Linked DNA regions of Tamandua tetradactyla. The protein of the gene in region 3 interacts with the protein of the main gene of each other region in a biochemical or structural test. Links are inferred from orthologs where the notes say so. Each region holds a gene or a part of one and is shown on either strand. Other genes may lie near its edges. The genes, in order: ATP-dependent RNA helicase DDX19B, NXF1 and NUP214.

Region 1 (7,875 bases), on a different chromosome or scaffold from region 3:
TTTTGGTTTTTTTTTTTACATGGGCAGGCACCAGGAATCCAACCTGGTCTCCAGCATGGCAGGCGAGAACTCTGCAAGCTGAGCCACCGTAGCACACCCTGGTCAACTGATCTTTGATAAGGCAGTCAAGCCAACTCACCTGGGACAGAACAGTCTCTTCAATAAATGGTGCTTGGAGAACTGGATATCCACACGTAAAAGAATGAAAGAAGATCCATATCTCACACCCTATACAAAAATTAACTCACAATGGATCAAAGACTTAAACATTAGATCTAAGACCATAAAAATTTTTAGAAGAAAATGTAGGGAGATATCTTATAAACCTTTTAATAGGAGGTGGTTTTCTAGATCTTACACCCAAAGCACGAGCATTGAAGAAAGACATAGATAAATGGGAACTCCTCAAAATTAAACACTTTTGTGCATCAAAAAACTATGTCAAGAAAGTAAAAAGACAGCCTACACAATGGGAGATAATATTTGGAAATGATATATCAAATAAGGGTCTAGTATCCAGAATATATACAGAGATTGTTTAACTCAACAACAAAAACACAATAACCCAATTATAAAATGGGCAAAAGACATGAACAGACACTTCTCAAAAGGGGAAATACGAACGGCTAAAAAGCACATGAAAAGATGCTCAACTTCCCTGGCTATCAGGGAAATGCAAATCAAAACCACAATGAGATATTATCTCACACCCACTAGAATGGCCATTATCAAAAAAAAACAGAAATGACAAGTGCTGGAGAGGATGTGGAGAAAGAGGTACACTTATTCACGATTGGTAGGAATGTCAAATAGTACAACTGCTGTGAAGACAGTGTGGTGGTTCCTCAGGAAGCTAAGTACAGAGTTGCCATATGATCCAACAATACCATTGCTAGGTATCTACTCAGAGGACATGAGGGCAAGAACACAAACGGATATTTGCACACCAATGTTTATAGCAGCATTATTTACAGTTGCCAAGAGATGGAAACAGCCCAAATGTCCATCAACAGACAAGTGGCTAAATAAGCTGTGATATACAAATACGATGGAATATTATGCAGCTGTAAGACAGAATAAAGTCATGAAGCATGTAACAACATGGATAGACCTTGAGGACATTATGCTGAGTGAGATTAGCCAGAATCAAAAGGACAAATACTGTATGGTCTCACTGATTTGAACTAACATTAATGAATGAACTTGGAGAATTTGAGTTAACAGAGGCTATCAGGAGATAGAAATAGGGTCGATTTTGGGTAATTGGAGCTGAAGGGATACAGACTGTGCAACAGGACTGACTGTAAAAATTCAGAAATGGACAGCACAATACTACCTAATTGTAGTACAATAATGTTAGAACACCTAATGAAGCTGAATGTGAGAATGATAGAAGGAGGAGACCTGGGGCACAAATGAAACCAGAAAGAAAGATAGAAGATCGATTTGAATAGTGAATAAAGAAGTATTTGCAAAGTCCCCTTGGGGGAATGGCAAGAAAGGGGGAAAATTCAACTTCCCCATTTGGAGAATTCTCAATATTCTTGCAAGTAGTGGGGACAACCAAACCAAGAGGCCAAGCCCCACCCCCCCACCCCAATCTTGGGGTTTGTTCATATGAAACATATCCCTGCAAAGGATAGACTAAGTCTACTTAAAACTAGGCCTAAGAGTCACCCCCAGAGAACCTCTTTTGTTGCTCAGATGTGGCCTCTCTTTCAGCCAACATTTCAAGCAAACTCACGGCCCTTCCCCTCTCTACATGGGACATGACTCCCGGGGTGTAAACTTCCCTGGCAACATGGGACAGAAATCCTATAATGAGCTGGGACTCAGCATCAAGGGGCTGAGAAAACCTTCTTGGCTGAAAGGGGGAAGAGAGAAACGAGACAAAATAAAGTGTCAGTGGCTGAGAGATTTCAAACAGAGTCAAGAGGTTATCCTGGAGGTTATTCTTACGCATTTTATAGATATCCCCTTTTGAGTTTAAGGTGTATTAGAGAGGCTAAAGGCAAGTGCCTCTTGATCTAACGATGCTCTAACTAAAATTTCAATATAATACATTGAAAAGATGGAGAATGGGAGAGTATATATGTGTGGTCAGGGAGGAAGGATGGAAGAAAAAGAGCCCAAATCAATAAATACTGAAAACTGAAAACTCAAGAAAGTTACAAAACAAGCATGTTATTCAGAGAAAAAGGTGGTAGATACTGTCAATCAGTTTCAAGAGAAAAAAGTAGTTGCCTCTCCTCTGGGGGGGGGGGGAGGATGGAAAATCGGTGGTGGTGGGAACCACTGTTTATAAAACTATCTGACTCTTTAAACTTTGTGCATGTATAACATTTTTTATGTTATAAAAAATAAGACAAGGCCCTTATTCTGGAGGAAGTCACAGAAAACAGGACTAACAGAAGTTAGTTCAAAGCACTATCAGAACTTAGGTTACTCAGCCTGGAGAAGTGAAATCTATACAGTAATACCTGACATATTCTGCTTACTGTGTGTCAGAATCAGAAAATCGAACAAAGTTAAGTGGATCAGAAGAGGATTTACTGACTACCAGACCTACTGAGTCAATAATGCATCATCACTGAGCAAACTGAGGGGACACAATAATTTGAGTAAGTCATGGTCTCTGACCCTAAGAATCTCAGAATGTGGAGGTGGAGGATGACATATACAAAGGTAACTGCAATCCAGGGCGGGGGGAGGGGGCGGTGAGTACAATCTACAATCAATCCTTATTCCAGTACGGATAGGTAAACAAAGTCATTTTAGGGTCCAGGCTCCATCCCTATTCTACTCCCTGGGGGATTAAATCCCCGTCCAGAACTGGCCCCTGACTCCTTTACTACTGAAGCCAACTCACCGACTCAGCCGCTGCCTCCTGCTGGTCCACTGCCAGGGCCCAGGAGTCGGTGGCCATAGTCCCAGGGGCGGGTGGGACCCCTGCCCTGGCGGACTCGCAGGATGGCACGGCGCGATCGTGGGTTCCGGGGGATCCTGGTAAGTCAGGCTTCAACCCCGTAGCAGGGGAAGTCATTCGCCAAGGGGCTGGGAACAGGAAGCAGCGCTTTGCGGTGACGTCAAGGTCCGCGCCGGTTAGGCAGTCTCTCGCCCCTTCAGGGCTGTCGATTGTGTCCCCTCCAGGCCGGCACTCTTTTCCCTTGCGCAGCTCAAGCTTTCCTATCAAAAGTCCAGAACCGCGGCCTGAAATAGCTATCTAAAAGTTCCCAAGCTCCCAAGCTTTGGATAGAAACGACTGGTTGTCTATCCAAAGAATAAAACCATATTCCGGCCCAGCACAGTGGCATAGAAGATACTCAGAGAAACTGAATGTAGTAAAACAGAAAACAACCATTGCAGACAGCCACCAAAATGCATGCTGAAACAAGTAGATATTATTTCCACTTTTCAGGCGGGTAATTTAAAAGGTCCTTGTGTTGACCAGAATTATTAGGAATCAGTTCTCTCAAATACCACTTGGTAAGTATTTGTCCCACAATGTGGCAACACCACTTATAGGAATTTAATCTTTAAAAATACTCCAGGAAGGTGCAAGGGAAAAAATGGCCCGGAAGAGGATAAGACATAACAAAGAGTGGTGGATTTGTAGAACTGCACAGACACTAGGGAGGACAGAGGGCAGGGGAGGCGGGCATTGACCAGAGAAAGGGATGAAGAGGCAGGTATGAGGTGGAAGAAAAGGTAGGGCACCTTAACAGGCAAAGGAGTGAGCTGTGCCTAGGTTAGAATCCCTATTCTCCTACTTAAGGGCTGTGTGACTGAGGGAATTTTTTAAAAGAAGTAATTCGAGTTTTTTTTTTTAATATTATGTTATTTATTTACCGTTTTGAATGTTCTTTTTTTTATTGACAAACCAAAACAACATACAAAAACAAACATCCTTAACATACAAACATTCCATATATGGTGTACAATCAGTGGCTCAAAATATCATCACATAGTAGTTTGTTCATCACCATGATCATTTTTTTTTAATTTACTTTATTTTATTTTTTTAAATACCGAAAAACACAATACAAATGCAAATATTCCTATATTTTGATCATTCTGTTCTACATATACAATCAGTAATTCACAATATTATCACATAGTTGCATATTCATCATCATGATCATTTCTTAGAACATTTGCATCTATTCAGAGAAAGAAATAAAACGAAAACAGAAAAAAAAATTTATACATACCATACCCCTTACCCCTCCCTTTCATTGATCACTAGCATTTCAAACTAAATTTTTTTTATTTGTAATCCCATCATCACATCTAATATGGATTATAAATATCTGGTTTCTTTTTTGAAAATTTATTTATTAATTAAAAAAATAAAGAAACAACATACATAATCAGTAAATCACAATATCATCACTTAGTTGCATATTCATCATTTCTTAGAACATTTGCATTAATTCAGAAAAAGAAATAAAAAGACAATAGAAAAAGAAATAAAATGAACACAGGAAAGAAAAAAAAAAAGATTGTACCTACCATACCCCTTACCCCTTGCTTTCATTGATCACTAGCATTTAAACTAAATTTATTTTAGCATTTGTTCTCCCTATTATTTATTTTTATTCCGTATGTTCTACTCATCTGTTGACAAGGTAGATAAAAGGAGCGTCAGACACAAGGTTTTCACAATCACACAGTCACATTGTGAAAGCTGTATCATTATTCAGTCATCATCAAGAAACATGGCTACTGGAACACAGCTCTACATTTTCAGGCAGTTCCCTCCAGCTGCTCCATTACATCTTGAATAACAAGATGACATCTACTTGATGCATAAGAATAACCTCCAGGATAACCTCTCGACTCTGTTTGGAATCTCTCAGCCACTGACACTTTGTCTCATTTCACTCATCCCCCTTTTGGGGGTGAGAAGGGTTTTTCTCAATCCCTTGATGCTGTCTCAGCTCATTCTAGGATTTCTGTCCCACGTTGCCAGGAAGGTCCACACCTCTGGGAGTCATGTCCCACGTAGAGAGGGGGAGGGTGGTGAGTTTGCTTGTTGTGTTGGCTGGAGAGAGAGGCCACATCTGAGCAACAAAAGAGGCTCTCTTGGGGGTGACTCTTAGGCCTAATTTTAAGTAGGCTTGACCTATCCTTTGCAGAGTTAAGTTTCATATGAACAAACCCCAAGACTGGGGGCTCAGCCTATAGCTTTGGTTGTCCACACTACTTGTGATAACATGAGTTTTTAGAAGAGGTAGAAGGATTGAGCGACCCTTGCCGTGGAAGCCCAGGGGCAGAGCCATTCCCTGAGTGTCTGTGACACTCTAAAGCACGCAGCTGCTTGCACGGCCTGGGTCTGTTAATGTTTCAGCTAACCTCTTTACAAAGGAAGAATGTGCAGTTGATCAATGTACTCAAGAACCCAGCCCCCTCTCTGTGTAAAATGTTAATTTGTACCTTACCCTCCCTTCTGATAATCATGTTTCCCTATAATCTTTTTCACTGAGTCCTCTCTGCTGTCTTTGTCTTGGGCCCCTATAACTGGTCCTGCTAATTCCCACTTAATTGTGAAACACTTTCACCTTGAGCTCTATACCGGCTGCTGGTATAGAAGAGCTTGATTTCCAGACTGACTTCTTTCTTTCACTCCTGTAATTAAATTACTATAATAAAGTTCATGTCCCATTCCATGCCTAGTGCTTTCCAGTCAATTGGCTAGAAAGGCCCCTGCAGGCCAGGACACCTGCTTTTCCCTAACTGAAATCAAACAAGCTTCTTTCTCCTTATTACTTCACTAGAAAGAACCCGGGCACGTTACTGTAACATGAGAAAATCAATCCCAGCTTTTCTCACTTCGCCAATATTCCACTATAAGTCAATTTCAAATTAATAGTGGGGCTCTATGTGGAATTTACCTGTAGGGTTTGAGTAAAAACGTCTTGAGGAAAGGTAAAGCAGTTCCAGAGAATACTCTACTTGCCATAATTGCTTTTTTCTCCTGCATCATTTAGGGGGGGTAATCTGGGGAAGTGTTTTTTTTTGGACTCTGCAGGCGAGGATGTACAAAAAATGGCAGACAGCCTGGGAACCATCACCTACATCTTATCCTATCACAACTCAGAAGCAACCCGTGGGAATACTTTGCCAGAGAAATGACACTGCTTCACAGGACTAAAGGAAGTTAAGGAATTTTCAAAAAAAGTTTAATGAGGTTTAAAATTAAATCATCAACGGGCAAGACTATATATAGTAGGCCCTATCTGTGCAGAAAACAAGAAAAACTCACATATGCTGGCATATAAAATAGACAATGCATAGATAAACACACACAAAATGATAACTGGCTGCTTTGGTGGGAGGCTCTAAAAGACAGATGGGAGAAGACTTCCTTTCCCTAGTGTACACTTCATCCTCAATTTTTTTTTCACGTGCATGTTTTCCTTTTAAAATTAAAAGTATTCCAGATCAACAAGAAAGGGAATGATAAACATGTAGGTTCCCATGACAGGACTTAAGAAAGTAAACTAAGAGTCAACTGAAGCCCCCTCTATACACATCATAAGATATAACAACTATCCTGAATTTGGTGCTTATTCTCTTGCTTGCCTTTTCCATGTGTTCTTTTTCTCTACTAAACAAACAACAATACATAGAACAAGCATCAAGATTCTAGATTCTCCTACGTCCATCCCGAACATACCGGCACAACATGAGTCTCCTGCTGAGAAAGAACCTGGTTTCCAAAGTGGGGTGTGGAGTGAGTGGTGCGAGGGGAATTACGATCATCTAGATTTGATTCAGCCTCCTGCACTTACTTCCATGTGACCTCGCGCAGCCTCAGTTTCCTATGAACACGCAGTTATGTACCCACCTCCAGAGCTCAAAGATTCAGCGACACCACACAGTTAAGGCTTTTGGCCCAGCGCCAGGCATATGGCAAAAGTTCAATAAATATTAGTTAGCTATTATTATTATTTCTGCCCTCACCCAAAAGTTGGGGTCGAGGAGGATGCCTAAGTCTGAAAAAAAAAAAAAAAAAAGCTTTCTGCCCTCAGGGATACTCACATCGCCCACGGGCAGAGGAAGTGCAAACCCTCCCAGGGCCCAGCCTCTCACGTGGCCAGCAGCACCCGCCATCGCTATGGCGGTTACACTCCAACACCACTGGCCACACTGTCTGGGCTCGAACCTCATTGGCTGAGGCCTGCAAGCCTGACCTGCCAGCCAATCAGCTGAGGGAACAGTACAGCCTTTGAACAAGCGCGCTTGGGTACCTTGGGGCAAAAGACTGGCCCCAGCTGGCGTCTTTGCGTAACTTTGTCATCTTTTGAAAATGTTTGGCTTGCACACTAGATTCGGGGCTTTGTGACCGCCGGGCAGCATCGCCTTTCCTTAATTTTGATTCTCAGGGACCAACGCTTAATAGATATTTATTGGTGAATAATTATTGGTGAATAAAATGAAGAATTCACACACACATACACCCTGAGTGGACCAAATTTATAAATATTTACATATGAACACATAGGCTCATCCTTGAGTACTCCCTAGCTATTGTTAAATGATTCCCCCCCCCCTCCTGGCAGGACATCAAGCATAGCTATCACCTGGGAGCCCATTAGTAATACAGACTCTTCGTCCCTACCCCACCCACATTCACTAAATCAGAATCTGCATTTTAAGATTTCCAGGTGATCCCTAAGGCACCTTACAGTTTAAAAAGCACCATTGTAGATGACAAATGATAATGGTATGCTCAGTGAAGGCTTCCTTTGGAGGCTCCCAAAGCAACTATTCACCCACCTCCATTTGACCTGTTAGCGAACGAAAAAATAAATATCCTAAGCCCATTTTACAGATGCTAAAAGTAGCTTAGGTGTCATGGGAGAGTTGGTA
Region 2 (7,610 bases), on a different chromosome or scaffold from region 3:
ATTATGATCCTTGCCTGCATCATTTTGTTAGACTCTTCTACATTTACTAGCTAGCATTCTTCTGGAAAGAAGAGGCATTCTTTTTCTTTAAGTATCACTGTGGAATCATGGATTTCTTTTCTTTTTTTTTTTATTTAATGTATCATAATCCGTTATCACTATTCTTTTATGGTGATCACTTCAAGTCATATGGAGCCACTTCAAGTCAGTTTCTGTGTCCTCTGCACATAGCTTTCATTACTCTCAATCATATAAAATTTGAGGAGAAACAAATCCAGAAAACTAAATCCCAGGCATCCTAATCATGATCCAAGTAATCTTTCTAGGTTTTGGGGTACCATCTTCTTTGGGGTTCAACTTTTTCTTTTTTTGTCCCCAGTTTCTCATACTCATTTTATAGTGCTCTGGTTTCCATTATGTGTTTTTTCCACTCAGCCAGACTCCAACTTTTTACTGTTTGATTCCCTTCCTCTGTAGTTTTTCTTTCTTTCAGAAAACATTCCTGTGTCTTTTTCCCCTTTGCCAACCTTTCCCTTTTCTGCTTTCTTCAGCCTTCTCCTTCCCAAGCCATTCCTTTCATTTCCGTTTTCTAATTCCCCTGCTATTTCCTCTGAATATCCCATTTGTATTAATTTGCTAAAGCTGTTGGAATGCAATATACCAGAAATGAATGGAATGGCTTTTAAAATGGGAATTTATTAAGTTGCAAGTTTACAGTTCTAAGGCCATGAGATTATGCAAACTAAGGCATCCAGAGAAAGATACCGATACTCCAAAGAAAGGCCAATGTCTGCTGGTCCTTGTTCCTGATTCTATTGCTTCTAGCTTCTGATATCAGTGGTTTCCTCTCTAAGCATCTGTGGGCCTTCACTTAGCTCCTCTGGGAAATAGCTCTGGGTTTTGGCTTGTGTAATATCTCATGGGAAGGCACATGGTGATGTCTGCTGGGCTCTGCCCATGTCTAGGCATCTGCTCTCCAAGTTGGTACTCCATGTATCTCCAAACATCCGTGTTTCTGTCCGCTCTGAAGCAACTCTTCTCCAAGGGTCTACATCTGAAGTGTCTCTAAAATGTTTCCCCTTTTAAAGGACTCTAGTAAACTAATCAAGGCTCACTTTGAATGGGTAGAGTCACATCTCCATCTAATCAAAAGATCACACCCACAAATTGCATAGGTCATCCTCCTTGGAAAGAATCTAATCAAAGGTTTCCACCCTAAACAATAGGTCTGGCCTCACAAGATTGGATCAGGATTAAACTGGCTTTTCTGGGATATATAATAGTTTAAAACCAGCAACACCTTTGAGTCCTAATTTTTTCACCACCAGAGTTCCCCTCTGTCAATTTTCAATCATAGACTCATTGAAAAAATTATATATACCAGATTGCATTTATTTTTCCCAAGCAAAGCCATTTGTAATTGTTGATTTGAGCTTTATTCAGTATGAGATAACAAATGCCCCCACACTGAGAAATGTAATTAAAGCCAAAGCTAGGAAACCTGATACTTTAGTTAGGCCTCTTAACATTACTGGGGAATTACAATTCAGGTTCCTGTATTTGAGACATTGAGATTAGCTCACACCAGTGTTCATGTCGGCCTACCTACGCCTACACCGTTGGGCTTGCAACCACGGGCCCAGCCTCTTTTGTCACTTTCCAGTTGGATTGTCAGGCTCCTCCAGTTTTTTCATGCCCACAACTCTCAAAAGCCTCTGTTGCCAGGGCTTTCCACTGCAATGACCAGAGTTTGTATTCGGTTTATAGGATAGTAACTGTAGGTGACTGGAAAATATTTTATTTGCCTCAGCAATTTCTCCTGAGATTGTCCTTCCTCTGAAGACTTCGCTATATCCTAAAGAGACATATGTTTTCCTAATGTAGGGTTTTTCTTATCCCCTGCCTTCCTGTTCATATCATTAATTTTTATCTTCCCATCTTAGAACTAGGATTTCCTGACTGTAATGGTCTGTGAACTTCTAAGTGCATTTCATTGTCATTAGACAAAATTCAGTAAATACTGATGAGCAAAAAATTCTAATAGCTAACATTTTGGGGGCTTTTACTGTGGGTTAAAACTGACAGTTCTGAGAGGTTGGGTTTGTGTTATCCTTATTTTGCAGGCAAGTAAAACAGACTCAAGGTTAAATCACTGGCTTAGGGTCATTAAACCAGAGGTGAAACTTCATTATATATCCTTTAGGGCATTTTCTGTTTACAAATATATATATATATATATATATACACACACACACACACATAAATGGTATCATATTGTATATCGACCCTTTTGTCCCCACGTACCATGTCCATCTTTCTATGTCAATAAATACACTTCAACAGCATTCTTTTTAATCCAGTGTCCTTCTGTTTCCTCTTCTCCCGGCCCTGTCCCAGGATCGACGAGAACGTGCTGGGAGCCCAGCTGGATGTTGATGCTGCCCACTCAGAGATCCTCAAGTACTTCCAGTCAGTCACCTCCAACCGGTGGCTCATGGTCAAAATCTTCCTCATCCTCATTGTCTTCTTCATCATCTTTGTGGTCTTCCTTGCCTGAATCCTCTCCACTCTGAGGCACTCCATGGGGGGTTGAAGCCCACCTGGGGGGGCAGGTGGCCATTGCTGCCACTGAGCCTGTACAGGGTGCTTGGAAGAAAGGCCCTGTTTCCCTGGAACTGCTAAGAATGGCCACTGCCCCTTGATCCTCCAACCATGTTTTGCCTCTGGCTATCCTGCCTCTCCCCTAACACCCCCAGACCCACAAACCACACAGGGTTCTGGTTTTGGACTCTGTTGTGAAGTGGCTGGAAGGGAGCAGAGGCTAGCTGGGGGCCAGTGGGGAGGCTGCCTCCACTAGGAAATTTTTATAAACCCCCCACAGCCTCTCTGAAAAGAAACTGGGAGCAAGGGGAAGTGATGACCTTCCCTGCCTTCTGAGAGTGAGGAGAGGAAGAGAAACTGCCCCAGGGACCAACTTTCCCATCTGGGTTAGAACTTGACCTGTTTATTTTTCCTCTCTTCACTAAGTGAGGCAGAGGGCCCTGAGCCCTTTGGCTGCCTGCACAACCCCCCCAACATTGGCTGCTAGTGACTCTCAGAATGCCAAATGCACTGCAGCCTGTTTTCTTCCAATTACAGAAAGACTGTCAGCCTCACTAGCCATGTCGTCATTTCTGGGTGGGAGCGTCGAAGGGCCTACCTAGGCAGTGAGTGGGCTGAGCCCACTGCCCAGTAACGGAACTGAAAGGGATCAGCTAATGGTTCAGAGGGGCCCCACAGCTGACCTTTGCAGCCTTTGGCGTCTGTACCACACAGCTGCCTCCAGCCATGTGATTACAAAGTGCGGTAGCACCTAATTTGAATGGAAACTTCATATCAAAGGAGGAGGGGATTCCCTGATTGGTGGTAACTTCCAGGACTGCCTTGAGCAGCAGTATTTGGACCGGTTTCATCTTAATCCTTTAACCTGTTGGCCCCAATTCAGAGCTCTGTCCGCTGCCAGGAGCGGAAGGTGAATTTGTTCCTGCGGCGGCTGAATCTCTTAGTTCCCATTAAAGTCTTCACCAAATCCAAACTAGTCACAGGAGAATGGAGAGAGACCTGCCCAGAATACCCCCTCTACTAGGAGCTTAATGTGCTTCTTTATCTTTCTTGACCAGGACCCACAACCACACCATTCTGAGATCACTTGAGTGAGTGCCCTGGTTCACACAAAACTCAAGCCGTAGAGACTGCAGTTGGCCATACTCAGCCTGTCCTAGTTCTTTTGGGGGTCTAGGGAAGTCCATGGTTTTTCCACCCCCGGCATTTACAGATTTCCTCTTGTCTTGGCTTCTCTTCCATCGCTTGTACCTCCACCATATACTCAGTCCACATGTGATGTGGGCCTGGCACAGTACACCAGTAGCGATTGGGTTGGTTTGTGAAGAGGAATGTCGCCGAAGCCTGTTATAAATGCAGTCCCATTTAATTGGGCAACTCTCGGAGCATGGTTAAAACAAGTTATTTCACAAGTATTTGTTGTTACTTGGTGCCATGCATGGTACTGGGCCCGGCGCTGGAGAAAAAAGCCATGGAGTTCACATTCTAGAGTTTGATTTCGTGCTTATTAATCCAGTTTACAGAATGGGAAAGAGCCCCAAGGTCAGCAGCCGATAAAGAGCTGAGCCGAGACTTTTAAACACTAGCTGAATTCGGCGAGGTGTCGGTAAGCGATCACTCGCTCCGAGGTCCGGGACTCCCATTCCTCAGTATCCTTTCGGGCCGCCCCTCGTCCGCCTTCCTCTCGGATTTCTGGACTGGAGCACCCCGAGTGCCATTGTTCTGCTCTTTGCTCCGGCACTAACTCTGGAAGTCTGCAGACGGATGAAAGGAGGTGGTGGTGGTAGGCTGGCAGCAAATCCTGGGCTTGGAAAGCTCAGTCGAGCGAGGCGTGGGAGGGACAAGACCCGACTCCTAAGCGTCCGCCTTCTGAAGTGCGCACGCGCAGGCAGGCCCCGCCCCGCCCCGCCCCCAGAGGCTCCGCCCACAACGCCGTGACGTCAGTAGCGCGAGACGTACTTCGCCGAATAAATGCTGTGGCGCCCGGCGTAGAAGCGCTTCGGCCCTTAGCTACTGGTTCAGTTTGGACGTTTGGCGGCTTCCTGGGCAGCGCTTCAGCCTGTCCCTGCCTCTCTCTGTACCATGGCGGACGAAGGGAAGTCGTACAGTGGTAAGTGCTGGCTTTCGGTGGCGAAGCGGAGCGATTTGGTGCCCGGGTGGGCGGCGCCGGCCTAGGCCGCAGCCCCAGGTGATGAGGCCGCTCGCGACCCGAAGTCCGCGGGGAGCGGCGGCGTGGGGCGGGTGGGGCGGGCCGCCGGGGACCAGGCAGCCCGGAAGGGGATCTCGGCCGAACTCGAGGATGGACCCCGGGGTACGCGACTCCGGAGTCCTGGTGTTGTGAGGACCTGCGGCTCGAAGCAAAGTAGTTCAGGGATGGGGTGACGAGAATCCTTTAAACTTTGTGGGTGATTGATGCTGGTCAGTTCAGTTTGGCGACCAGACTCTTTTAATGTGAGTGACTCAGTGCTCGCTCTTGGGCTGTCCTGGTACCCTATCTCCTACCGCGACTAAATGAGGACCTGCGGCTCTCATTTAGTATTTTAGCTTTTTTACACACCGTCTCAATGTTCTAGTCCGCCTGAGTTTTAGTTCAGTGTTGTGGTCAGGGTCTCTAGGCAGCCGAGGTTTGCATCCTCGTTCGACTAGGTCAAGCTTTAGTGAGTTACTTAAATTCTCAGACCTCATTTTCCACCTCTTTAATGAGGGTAGAAGCAACAGCTACCTTCAAAGGTGTGTGTGTGTGTGTGAGAGAGAGAGTATGTGTGTGTTTAAATGAGATCATTTCTATCAAGGGCCTGAAACATAGCACCTGGCAAGGGAGAAAGCTCTCAGTAAATGTTAGCTGCTGTTATCTTTTTTTTTTTTTTCCTAGAGTCCTTTTTGAGGCTCAGTGTCGGCATTAGGCAGACATGTTTAGGCGTCACAGGACTTTTTTAAAGAAACTCCTGTCCACCTAGATTTAAAGAGGGTCATATTCCTGGAGAACATTCCTGGACCCTTGGTTACTAGAGCCTGAGTCTAGGAGTTGTGTCCTGTGTTAAAAGGCATCTCAGGCAGAGGAAAAGGAGCACTCAGGAAATATGAGTAGCAGTATAATAGCAGGGAGATGTTTTAGGTTGGGCAGATTTTGAGTGACATCTGTAACGCACAGGCAGGAGAAATGTAGGTTACTGAGTGCTGATGTAATCATTGTGATTGATTCGTTTTAGGATGTGTCAGAGAATTTGCCTTCCAAAATTTGGGTGGGATTGAGTCGATTTGATAGATTGAGAGAGAACAGTTTGGGTGACTCTCTCAGTCTATCAAATCTTCATTTTTCAGAAACGCTGTGCAGTTTTCCAAGAATTTTTCTGATGTTTCCATCTCGTAGAGAGGGTTCTTTCTTCTGGACAGGCAGAGGAATTTGGGTGGAGGTGGCTTCTGTTGTTAGTATGTGTCTCCTCCAATAGTGCAGGATAATAGCTCCTGTAATTGCTGATGATGTATTTTCTAACTTGTGTTCCTGTTTCCAACTCTAGAGCATGATGACCGTGTTAATTTCCCTCAAAGAAGAAAGAAAGGCCGGGGTCCTTTCCGGTGGAAGTGTGGTGAAGGGAATCGTCGGTCTGGACGAGGTGGTTCTGGTGTTCGATCTTCCCGCATTGAGGAAGATGATGGAGATGTACCAATGAGTGATGCCCAAGATGGTCCCCGAGTACGATAGTAAGTGGCCAGTTGATCTGGTTTGAATTTAGTGACACACTAGATGATGCAGCCCTGCAACTGCCCATGTTATTTCTCTTTCCCACTTGGAAGACTGATAAATACTAGATCAGCTTAATGGATGAATAGTTTTAGTTACATCTCTGACAGCAGTGTAGGAAAGTCTTTGAGAAGGCTTAAAGTTGCAAATATGGACTTTTTTTCTCTCTGCTTCCCCCAGCACCCCGTATGCTGCCCGACCCAACCGTCGGGGTGATAATTGGCGTGATCGAGACCGTATCCATGTTACTGTACGGAGAGACAGGGCTTCTTCGGATAGAGGAACGGCTGGCACCAGCCAGGATGGGACCTTGAAGAACTGGTTCAAGATTACAGTGAGTACTTTTGGGAAAGTAGATGGTGCGGCTGAGACTGGGGGCTGGGCCCACGGAGAATGTGTTTAACTCCAGAGAATCAGTCTTTCTGGCTGTGACCTCCACAGTTTGATGCCTGTCCTTTTTGCTGAGGATCAGTATCTTTGAACACCTAAGAGTGGGTTGAAAGAAGGGATAGAAGAGGACAGGGAGGATGGGGGAGGCCCTCAAAAGGTAAGCATGGTAACTGTGGTCAGGAGTTGGAGTAACTCCTCTGGATGTCTCCTTTTGGCTCAGGCCCAGTGTGGAGTTGACCAGGTGTGGGAGTTGGAGTTCCTGGAGTTCTGTGAGGGGTAGGCAATGTATAAATAATATCTTGATACTTTTTTATAACCCAGATTTTTTATCCTTTGGAGAAATAATAATTTTAACTGGACAGAAAGAAGATTAAGGAGTCCATGTATGGCTCAGATAGAAAAACATATGGCTGGTCCTTTCTTTAGAAAATCTTTTAAAGCTTGGCAGAAGGTCTGAAAGGAACCTTCAAGTCTGCTTTTCAGCCTTAGTTGCATATTGTTCCTTTTCTTTCTCTTTCTCTTATTTCTAGATTCCTTACGGCAGAAAATATGACAAGTCATGGCTATTGAACTTGATTCAGAGCAAGTGCCGTGTCCCTTTCACACCCATCGAGGTAAGACAAGGCCTGAGTGGCAGGCTGCCTGGGCATCAGGGAGGGTGGAGGGGGCAAGATAGACAAGTGTTTCTGGGCTCCAGATCTAATCCTGTTATTTCTCTTCTTGCAGTTTCACTATGAGAACAGTCGGGCCCAGTTTTTTGTTGAGGATGCCAGCACTGCTTCTGCATTGAAGGCTGTGAACTATAAGATTTTGGATCGGGAAAATCGACGGGTACATGTGTCAAGGGCCTGGCTTGGTTAGGGGTGGGGATTGGGGT
Region 3 (7,682 bases):
TCAAGTGAGAAGGCACATGGTGAACACAGTTAGGGCTTCTCTGTCAGCTGGAAGGGCACATAGCGAGCACAGCATCATCTGCTAGCTTTCTCTCCTGGCTTCCTGTTTTATGAAGCTCCCCGGGAGGCGTTTTCCTTCTTCATCTCCAAAGTGCTGGCTGGTGGACTCTCTGCTTCATGGTGCTGTAGCATTCTCTGCTCTCTCTGAATCTCTTTCATTCTTCAAAATGTTTCCTTTTACATAGTACTCCAGAAACTAATCAAGACCCACTCAAATGGGTCCTCCACCTAATCCAGCTTAACAACCATTATTGATTAAATCACATCTCCAGGGGGGTGATCTAATTACAGTTTCAAACATACAATGCTGAATAGGGATTAGAAGAAGCAGCTGCCTTTACAAAATGGGATTAGGATTAAAACATGGCTTTTCTAGGGTCCATGCATCATTCCAAACCAGCACATTGAGCATCTTGCTTGACTCACCCGCTGGGATGTAGTGGGGCTGGAATTCCAATCCAGCCTGTTTCTCTTCAGAGGTTACCCTCTGAACCCCCACCCTGTGCTTCTGGACTTTACTCTAAGAGCAGTGGGGAGGTTTTTGAAGATCTGAAGAGTTTTTGAAGAGTTTCAAGTAGGGTATTGGCCAGGTTTGTATTTACAAACTTTCTCTTGAACAGAGCTTCAGCCCAGCCTTGTGGTACCTACATGCCAGGCATTGTGTGCAGGGGAAGGTAAAGTCAGAAGTCTGGAGTCTCATCCTGCCTCTGCCTTGGACTACTTGTGTGATTCTGAGAACTCATGGCACCACTTTGCACCTCAGTTTTCTACTCTGGAAAACAGAGTAGCAGTGCCTTTCACACAGCTGCTGCCCTGAGCTTCCATGAGGATCCTGCTGGAGAACAGCTGGGAGGGCATTCTGTTGAGGACTCCACAGACTTGGGGGCTGGGATGATCTTTTCCTGGATTGGGGAAGGAGTCCTAATCTTCTTTTGTTTTGTTTTGTTTTCCTCATCCTCCAAACCAGAGTCATGATGTTTGAAGGAAAAGCCAATGAGAGCAGCCCCAAACCAGTTGGTCCCCCTCCAGAGAGAGACATTGCCAGTCTGCCCTGAGGACCCCTGCTGGACCTGGACCTGCCCCTGCCCTTTCCAGCTGCCTCACCCCCTGCCCCTCCCTCTGGAGCTCCCTGGCCTTCTTGACTCATTGTGATTTGTCTTGTTTGTTTGGTCATTGTGGGTTGGTTGGTTGTTTTCTTTGTGGGACAGAATCAGTGATCTTTTTGTAAAGCACAAATTATCTCCCTTAAAGAGGCTGTAGATGGGGGGGGTGGGGGTGGTCCTGAGCCTTCTGTTCTCTCCCTCTTTTCTCTCCTCCTTTTCCCCTCCTTGTGCAGAAGGGCTGACATTCAACCAAAAATTGCAGGGGATGGGAACAGGGCAGGGAGGCTGGGAGGCTTTGTTCCCCTCCTTTGGAGCTGGCACTGTCTTTCCTTCCAAGTCTCTGAGCCAACCCCAGACTTGTTGGCCTGGCACAGGTGGGGATCCCAGTTCACTTTCAGAAGGCCTAATTCCACCTTTAAGGGAGGATGCTGAGTAAGTCAGGAAAATGAACAATAAAATACTCATGGTAAAAAGTCTGCCCTACCGCTAAGCCAAGAGCTGAGAAATAGAAGATTGCCTTTCTGATCTCAGTCTGCTTAAAACTTGGCTGAACTTCCTCCGTTTGCCTTCCTACCTTACTACACCATTTAGTCAACAGATACTTGTCAACAACCATTATAAGCTCCAAGTCTTCCCATTTTATCCTGACATGTGCTGTGTCTGCTGTGTAACTAATTTCTCCTTTTCCCAATCACCCAAAACTTTGAACCTGGAGATTGGGTTGGGGCATCTGTGTTCTTTATTAGACTCACAGGATTTAAGAGCCCAATCCACCTTGCAGGTTAGCTAAGCCAATCCTCTTGTTTCATAGGTGAGAAAATTGGCAGTCCATAAGGACAAAGTGCCTTGCCCCAGGACAGAGAGTTAATTTGGAGATGGAAAAGTCCAAACTAGAGGCAAGGTCTCATGATCCCCCTGGCCCATGCCTCGTGTCTTCTCAGGACTGCCTCAAGGATGAAAACAAGGAAAGAGGCAGGTAGGGGCGGTCTCCTAGGTCAACACTTGGGTAAAGCTTCTCTCTTCTGAAGGTCCTCTGTGAGGATTAACCCTCCCCAGCCTCAGAGTTTGAGTCAGTGTCACAGTCTGCATTAAGACCAGGCCTACCTCTGCAGTTCTGCATTCTGCAGAGCTTCTGCCAAGTCTTGGAGACACTTTCCTGTCACACTTGACCCCTTTTGGACTGAGCAGAGGCTTCAGCCTTTACCCCTCCCTGTGCAGGGCTTAGACATACTCATTCATTTAACATATTTATTAAGCACCTGCTATGGGCCAAGAACTGAGACTCCAGAAATGAAACAGGACAGACCCATGGAATTTAGAGTCAGATACAGATGATGATGAATGTTAGGAAAGGGGGTGGAACATAGAGGGATGACTGCCTGTAATTCTGGGGTACCTAGACTTGGCCCAAGACTGAGCTACCGTCTGGAGAAGCCTTTGCAAAGCCTTAAGTGGAAAGATCTGGGGGCTGTTGGAGGTTGGGCTCCTTGCACGCTCCTCAGTAACGAATAATCAAGGCTCCAAGGTGCTGCCTCTACACCTTGAGGGGGTAAAGCACCTAGAAGTTGGAAAATGGCCCAGTTGGATTAGTCTGCTGGTCTCAACCAGTTCAGGAGTAAGACTACTTGGACATGACTGGCTGATCTTCAGCCTAAGAAGCTGCTTCAAATGCACAGGCCTAGTTGAAGATTAAACCTCAGCAAAACATTCAACCCTGTATATGTTAAATCCTACTCCCTCCATCCCGCTGGCCTTTTTTGTTTTTTTTTTTTTGCTCCCTAAGATCATTAGGTTAGCAACTGCCTGTCCTCACCTCTTCCCACTACCTCTCTCTGGGACAGGTTGGGACCTCTGAACAAAGTAAAGCCTTCCTTGACTACCCATCACATTCAGTGTTCCTGTTTTACTCAGAGAGGAAGACAGAAATAACTTGGCTTATTTCGGTGGGTTCCATAGCTTGCAAGAAGACAGCAGGAAGACTTGTGAAAGGAGTGCAAGCAAAAGCGTGTCCTGGCTTCTGGAAAGGGCAGGAAAGAAAGTGTCCTTATTGGATAGGGGATATGCTGGGAAATCTCATCAGTTCTTTTACCACTTTTTTGAACTCAACCTCTGGGGGTAGAGGGTCTTGAGAGTGGTCCCTGGGAGAGGGGGTCTGTATGTATTCCAGATTGTGGCTGTCAGCTCCAGGACTCTTACTTCTCTTGGTAAGGGCTCATCTTGAAACCTCAGCTGTTTTATTTCTAAAAGACCAAATCTAATTGTAATGTAACCAATAACTAGGGGATGGCCAATATGGTTTTGTCCCTATGACAAAAGGAAGGAGTTTGTCAGGTAAATTCAAGCGGATGAAGTATGTGTGCATGTGAGTGTGTGTGGTGTGGGAATATCTGCTCTACAGATTGGGAATAAACCAGACAAACTTATCAGCGTCCTGACTGGTGTATTTTGGGGGCAGTTCCTGTGCTCTGCAAAGTCAGAAGAGCTACCTGATATAGAATGACATATAGAATAGTATGGAATGAATGTGTCCTATGTGCCCGGCTTTGTTAAGCTCTGAATTTCATTTACTTCTCCCAACAATGCCATTAGATAGGTTCTTGTTATCCTTGATTTACATATGAGAAGAAGGCTTGGAGCAAAACAAACAAAAAACAGGTGGCAGAACACTTCCTGGGGAGTGTGGGCTCCAAGTTAAGAATCCCTGTCCTAGAGCATTTGTAATTCCACTACAAAAATTTCTTCTATATCTATGTAAATGATTATCAGCATATCCAGATAATCTGAATTCTAATCCTGCCGCCACCATTTTCTGACTGAGGGTCACTAGGGAATTTTCTTAACTTCTGTGTTTCAGTTACCTAATCAGTTAAATGGAATCAATAATCCCTGGGGGTGAGGATGTTTTAAGGATTAACATCCCTAGGGATGAGATAACTTTTCTAAGGTGTTCTGCACAAAGCTCCGAACAAATTTTGTGACCAGGGGTGGATATGGCTCTTGTTCTTAAAATGATTACCTTCAAAGGAGTAAACAAGGCTGGCATATGGTCCCTTTAACCGCCCCATCCAGCCTTCATCCCTAGATACAAAATGGTCTCGGGTGGCGAGGTCCTGTCCCACCCACTTTCTGAACTTCTCTCTGCCTTCGCCCCCAAAGTTTCTCATGAGCTGGAAATGAAGTTCCTAACTGACTTCTGCATCGGAAACAATATCCGCCTACATCCAAGGGTTACCGGGAAGTTTCAAATGAACGATGAGAGAAGGACACTTAGACGTAAGCAACCCACAGAGAAAGCAGCGCGCTCGGCCGGGACTCCAAGCTCCAGGCCGCGAGGCGCGGGTCCCGAGGCCACGCCCCGTACTCGAGCCGCCCAATGGGAGGCATCGGCCCCGAGAGCGCGCGCGACTTCGGGTGTTCCTCAGTCTTGTTAAGGCACGTCGCGAACCGGGGTGCGTGACATCATCAAAACGCGCCGGAAATGCGGAATCCTCTGCGCGCCTCTACCGCTGAGGGAAGGAGTTTAGTCTCGGAGCGTCCTAGGCTCTTGGCGTAAGGCCGCGGGCGGCCTGGGTGGCTGCTTGGACAAACTGAGTGCGGCGCGATGGGAGACGAGATGGATGCGATGATCCCCGAGCGGGAGATGAAGGTCAGAGGCTGTCCGGGGGCTCCCTCCCTTACTCAGTCCTGGCGTTGCCCTGGAGTCCCGCGGAACGGCCGGGTGCCCCGCCTCCTTCTTGAACGTTTTACCGTGTTCAGAGTTCTCATCAGCGGGTCCCGGGGCACGGTGCCGCGTTGCTGGCGTGGTAGTCCCATTGAATGCAGTTTCACGTCCCTGGTTGGTCTTGTTCACGCCTCTTGAATTATGTTGGCTACTTTCATGTAGTAGTCACAGTAGTGGTAACTACTACTCATTAAGCGTTTACTGTGTGCTAGGCACCGTGTAACCATTGTCTCCCTGATTGGTCACAGTATTCCTACGAAATAATTGGTAATATACCCATTTTACAGAGTAGCATATTGAGGTTTGGAAAGTAACTTGCCCAAAGTCGCATTTGACCAGGGGGCTGAAATCCATGTTTATTTTTCTTCATTCTTCATTTGCTACTTCTATAGGGTGGTCCAGACTTGCCTAGCACATAGCTAGGGAATATCACCTAACCTATGGAACTTTTAGTTAACTGGAATAGGAGGACTACTTTGGCACCAGAAATCAGCTTAGTCAGAAAAGTGGGGAAGAACAAGTGGTCCAGATGATGGTAAAGGAATCCCCAGGGATAACCACCAGGATGATATTTCTTAAAAACGTTCTGACAGAATGAAGGTACAGAAAACGAGCTACTTTCTTTTAAATAAGAAACAACTAAAAAGGAGTAAGCTGCAATAAGATTTCAGGCGTTTGTGTGAACAACAAATCATTGAAATGCATTTAAGGGATAGTAGTTTCATATACTTGAGCAGTGATTTCTTCTTTTCCCTTTTGAGAATCACTCTTGTAGTGAGCTACCCTGGAATAATGTTCCTATTCCTCAAATATGGTGGGAAAGAAGAACAGTTTCAGAACAACTGCCTTATGAGATTATAGTTTCCTTTTGAGTTACTTATTACAACAGAAAAGAGAGCTTCTGTGCCTCTTCATCCCACTGGCCCACTATACCCATGTGACCAACACCCAAATGTATTTGACATTATCACGAGAATTACAATAAAGCCTAATAATTTTATTCTGCTTTATTCTATGAATATGATCTCACTTGGAAAGTTGTGTGAATTTCTAATCACTCAGTTGAAATTAGAGAAGAGTATTTCAATTGATCTTTCAGCAAATATGTATTAAATATCTAATCCAAGGTAATTAGTATATGGGGTGCAATAGTGATCCTGTATGAAACGAACAATCTAGTTTTTCTTTTTCTTGAAGGTAAGTTTAGAATTGAAGGGGAAAATTAACCATATAGAATACAATTTAACATAGTGACTGGTATACCTTGGTAGTGCACTTGTGTCATGAGGTGAGGCTGCTGAGGTGGACTGGACAAGCGATATCTAGCCTTGTAGATTGTGTTGAGGATTTTGGACTTGTGTTTTATATGTTCTTCTAGCATCTTGGTTTTGCTTAAAGATCTTGAACTCTAAGTAAGCCAATTCTTGGGATTTGGTCCTCTTTCTGTGGTTATTTTAATATGTGTTTGAGGATTACTGCAGTAGAAGTTAGCACTTATACTGTAGTTGGGTGATGCTTTCGACATTTCACAAATTATTAAGCACTGTTCTGGGTCATGAAATGATACATACATAACGCAAAATAGGGCAAGATTATAAACAAAATGCAGTTTTGCAGTGATTTTGACAGTAAATATAGTAGGAATCAGGAAAAAGAAAAGTTCAACGTGAGCCAGATTAGTCAAGGAAGTCTTCATGAAAGATTTTTTTTTGTTTGCATATTTTCATTTATTTCATTCAACATATAGTACATACTTACTATGCCAGCCACTATGATAAGAGTAGGAAGTTTAAAGACTGCTGAGACACAGTCCTTGGCGTCACAGGATTATATATTTTTGTTGTACTGGAAATTAGGTCTGTTGGCATATATTGACAGTCATGATGTAATTTCCTTTTTGCCCTGAATTGGTCTTGTTTTTATCCTTTGCAATAGGATTTTCAGTTTAGAGCACTGAAGAAAGTGAGAATCTTTGACTCTCCTGAGGAGTTGCCCAAGGGGCGCTCCAGTCTGCTTGCTGTGTCCAATAAGTATGGTCTGGTCTTTGCTGGTGGAGCCAGTGGATTGCAGATTTTTCCTACTAAAAATCTTCTTATTCAAAATAAACCTGGAGATGATCCCAATAAAATTGGTAAGTTACCTGATTTATGTTGCATAATAGAGGAGTGTTGTATAGTGCTAATGTAGTTTCCTTCTCAAGAAATCATTCCAATATTGAAGTTAAACTGCTGTTTTAGTCCTAAAGTTGATTCCCAAGAAGAATAAATTCCAGGTGGGATTCTGAAAAGCTTTTCTAGGTATTCTCTTTGGTCCTTTGTATTTCTCTTCTGTTGAGTAGTTCCTTCAAGCTTAGAGGGAAGAAGAACTTTCCATTATGCTATGCTTTTATTTTAAGATGGTTTGGCTTTCTAGAAGGGTTTTGTCTGTGGCTTTTCAGTTGATACAACAGTACTGTTCAAACAAATGGGAATGTGTAGTATTTGGGAGCATTGTTGCAAAAATGCAGGCACAAGACTTTGTTTTCAGCAAAGAGTAACAACCAAAGTCAGTTTCCCTAGGTTGAATGAGGAAGAGTCCCTGGAATACTTAATGTGTCATTTTACCTCTGTATGAAAGTTAAGTTTTATCTACATAATTAAGTATCAGGTAGGGGTGTGTGTGTGTGTGTGTTTGCGTATGTGTGTTTATTTAGAGGCAAAATTATTTCACATAGAGGATAAAGGAGTTGTCGCTCAATGCTTAAAATATTCCATTTTCTGTTTTGTCTTCTTTTTATGTTTTCATAGTTGATAAAGTCCA

What was found.
Region 1: the proteins of NUP214 (region 3) and ATP-dependent RNA helicase DDX19B are reported together in a solved structure, tested with the Homo sapiens proteins (2 studies listed by IntAct, with this or other methods). The link is inferred for Tamandua tetradactyla from reciprocal best matches to the Homo sapiens genes NUP214 and DDX19B.
Region 2: the proteins of NUP214 (region 3) and NXF1 form a complex in vitro, tested with the Homo sapiens proteins (4 studies listed by BioGRID and IntAct). The link is inferred for Tamandua tetradactyla from reciprocal best matches to the Homo sapiens genes NUP214 and NXF1.

What each region holds. Positions count from the first base shown.
Region 1 is NC_135342.1:68,643,504-68,651,378, forward strand, and holds the start of ATP-dependent RNA helicase DDX19B, read right to left. Parts: upstream 3,084-7,875; 5' UTR 3,044-3,083; coding exon 2,870-3,043; intron 180-2,869; exon of another isoform or gene 140-179; intron 1-139. UniProt on the Homo sapiens protein: ATP-dependent RNA helicase involved in mRNA export from the nucleus.
Region 2 is NC_135335.1:11,787,299-11,794,908, forward strand, and holds the start of NXF1 (nuclear RNA export factor 1), read left to right. Parts: upstream 1-4,538; 5' UTR 4,539-4,683; coding exon 4,684-4,711; intron 4,712-4,868; exon of another isoform or gene 4,869-5,052; intron 5,053-6,119; coding exon 6,120-6,303; intron 6,304-6,523; coding exon 6,524-6,677; intron 6,678-7,263; coding exon 7,264-7,347; intron 7,348-7,459; coding exon 7,460-7,564; intron 7,565-7,610. Other genes in the region: STX5 (syntaxin-5), read left to right, coding at 2,398-2,557.
Region 3 is NC_135328.1:54,075,533-54,083,214, forward strand, and holds the start of NUP214 (nuclear pore complex protein Nup214), read left to right. Parts: upstream 1-4,609; 5' UTR 4,610-4,763; coding exon 4,764-4,808; intron 4,809-6,818; coding exon 6,819-7,014; intron 7,015-7,669; coding exon 7,670-7,682. Other genes in the region: AIF1L (allograft inflammatory factor 1-like), read left to right, coding at 1,027-1,114. UniProt on the Homo sapiens protein: Part of the nuclear pore complex. Has a critical role in nucleocytoplasmic transport.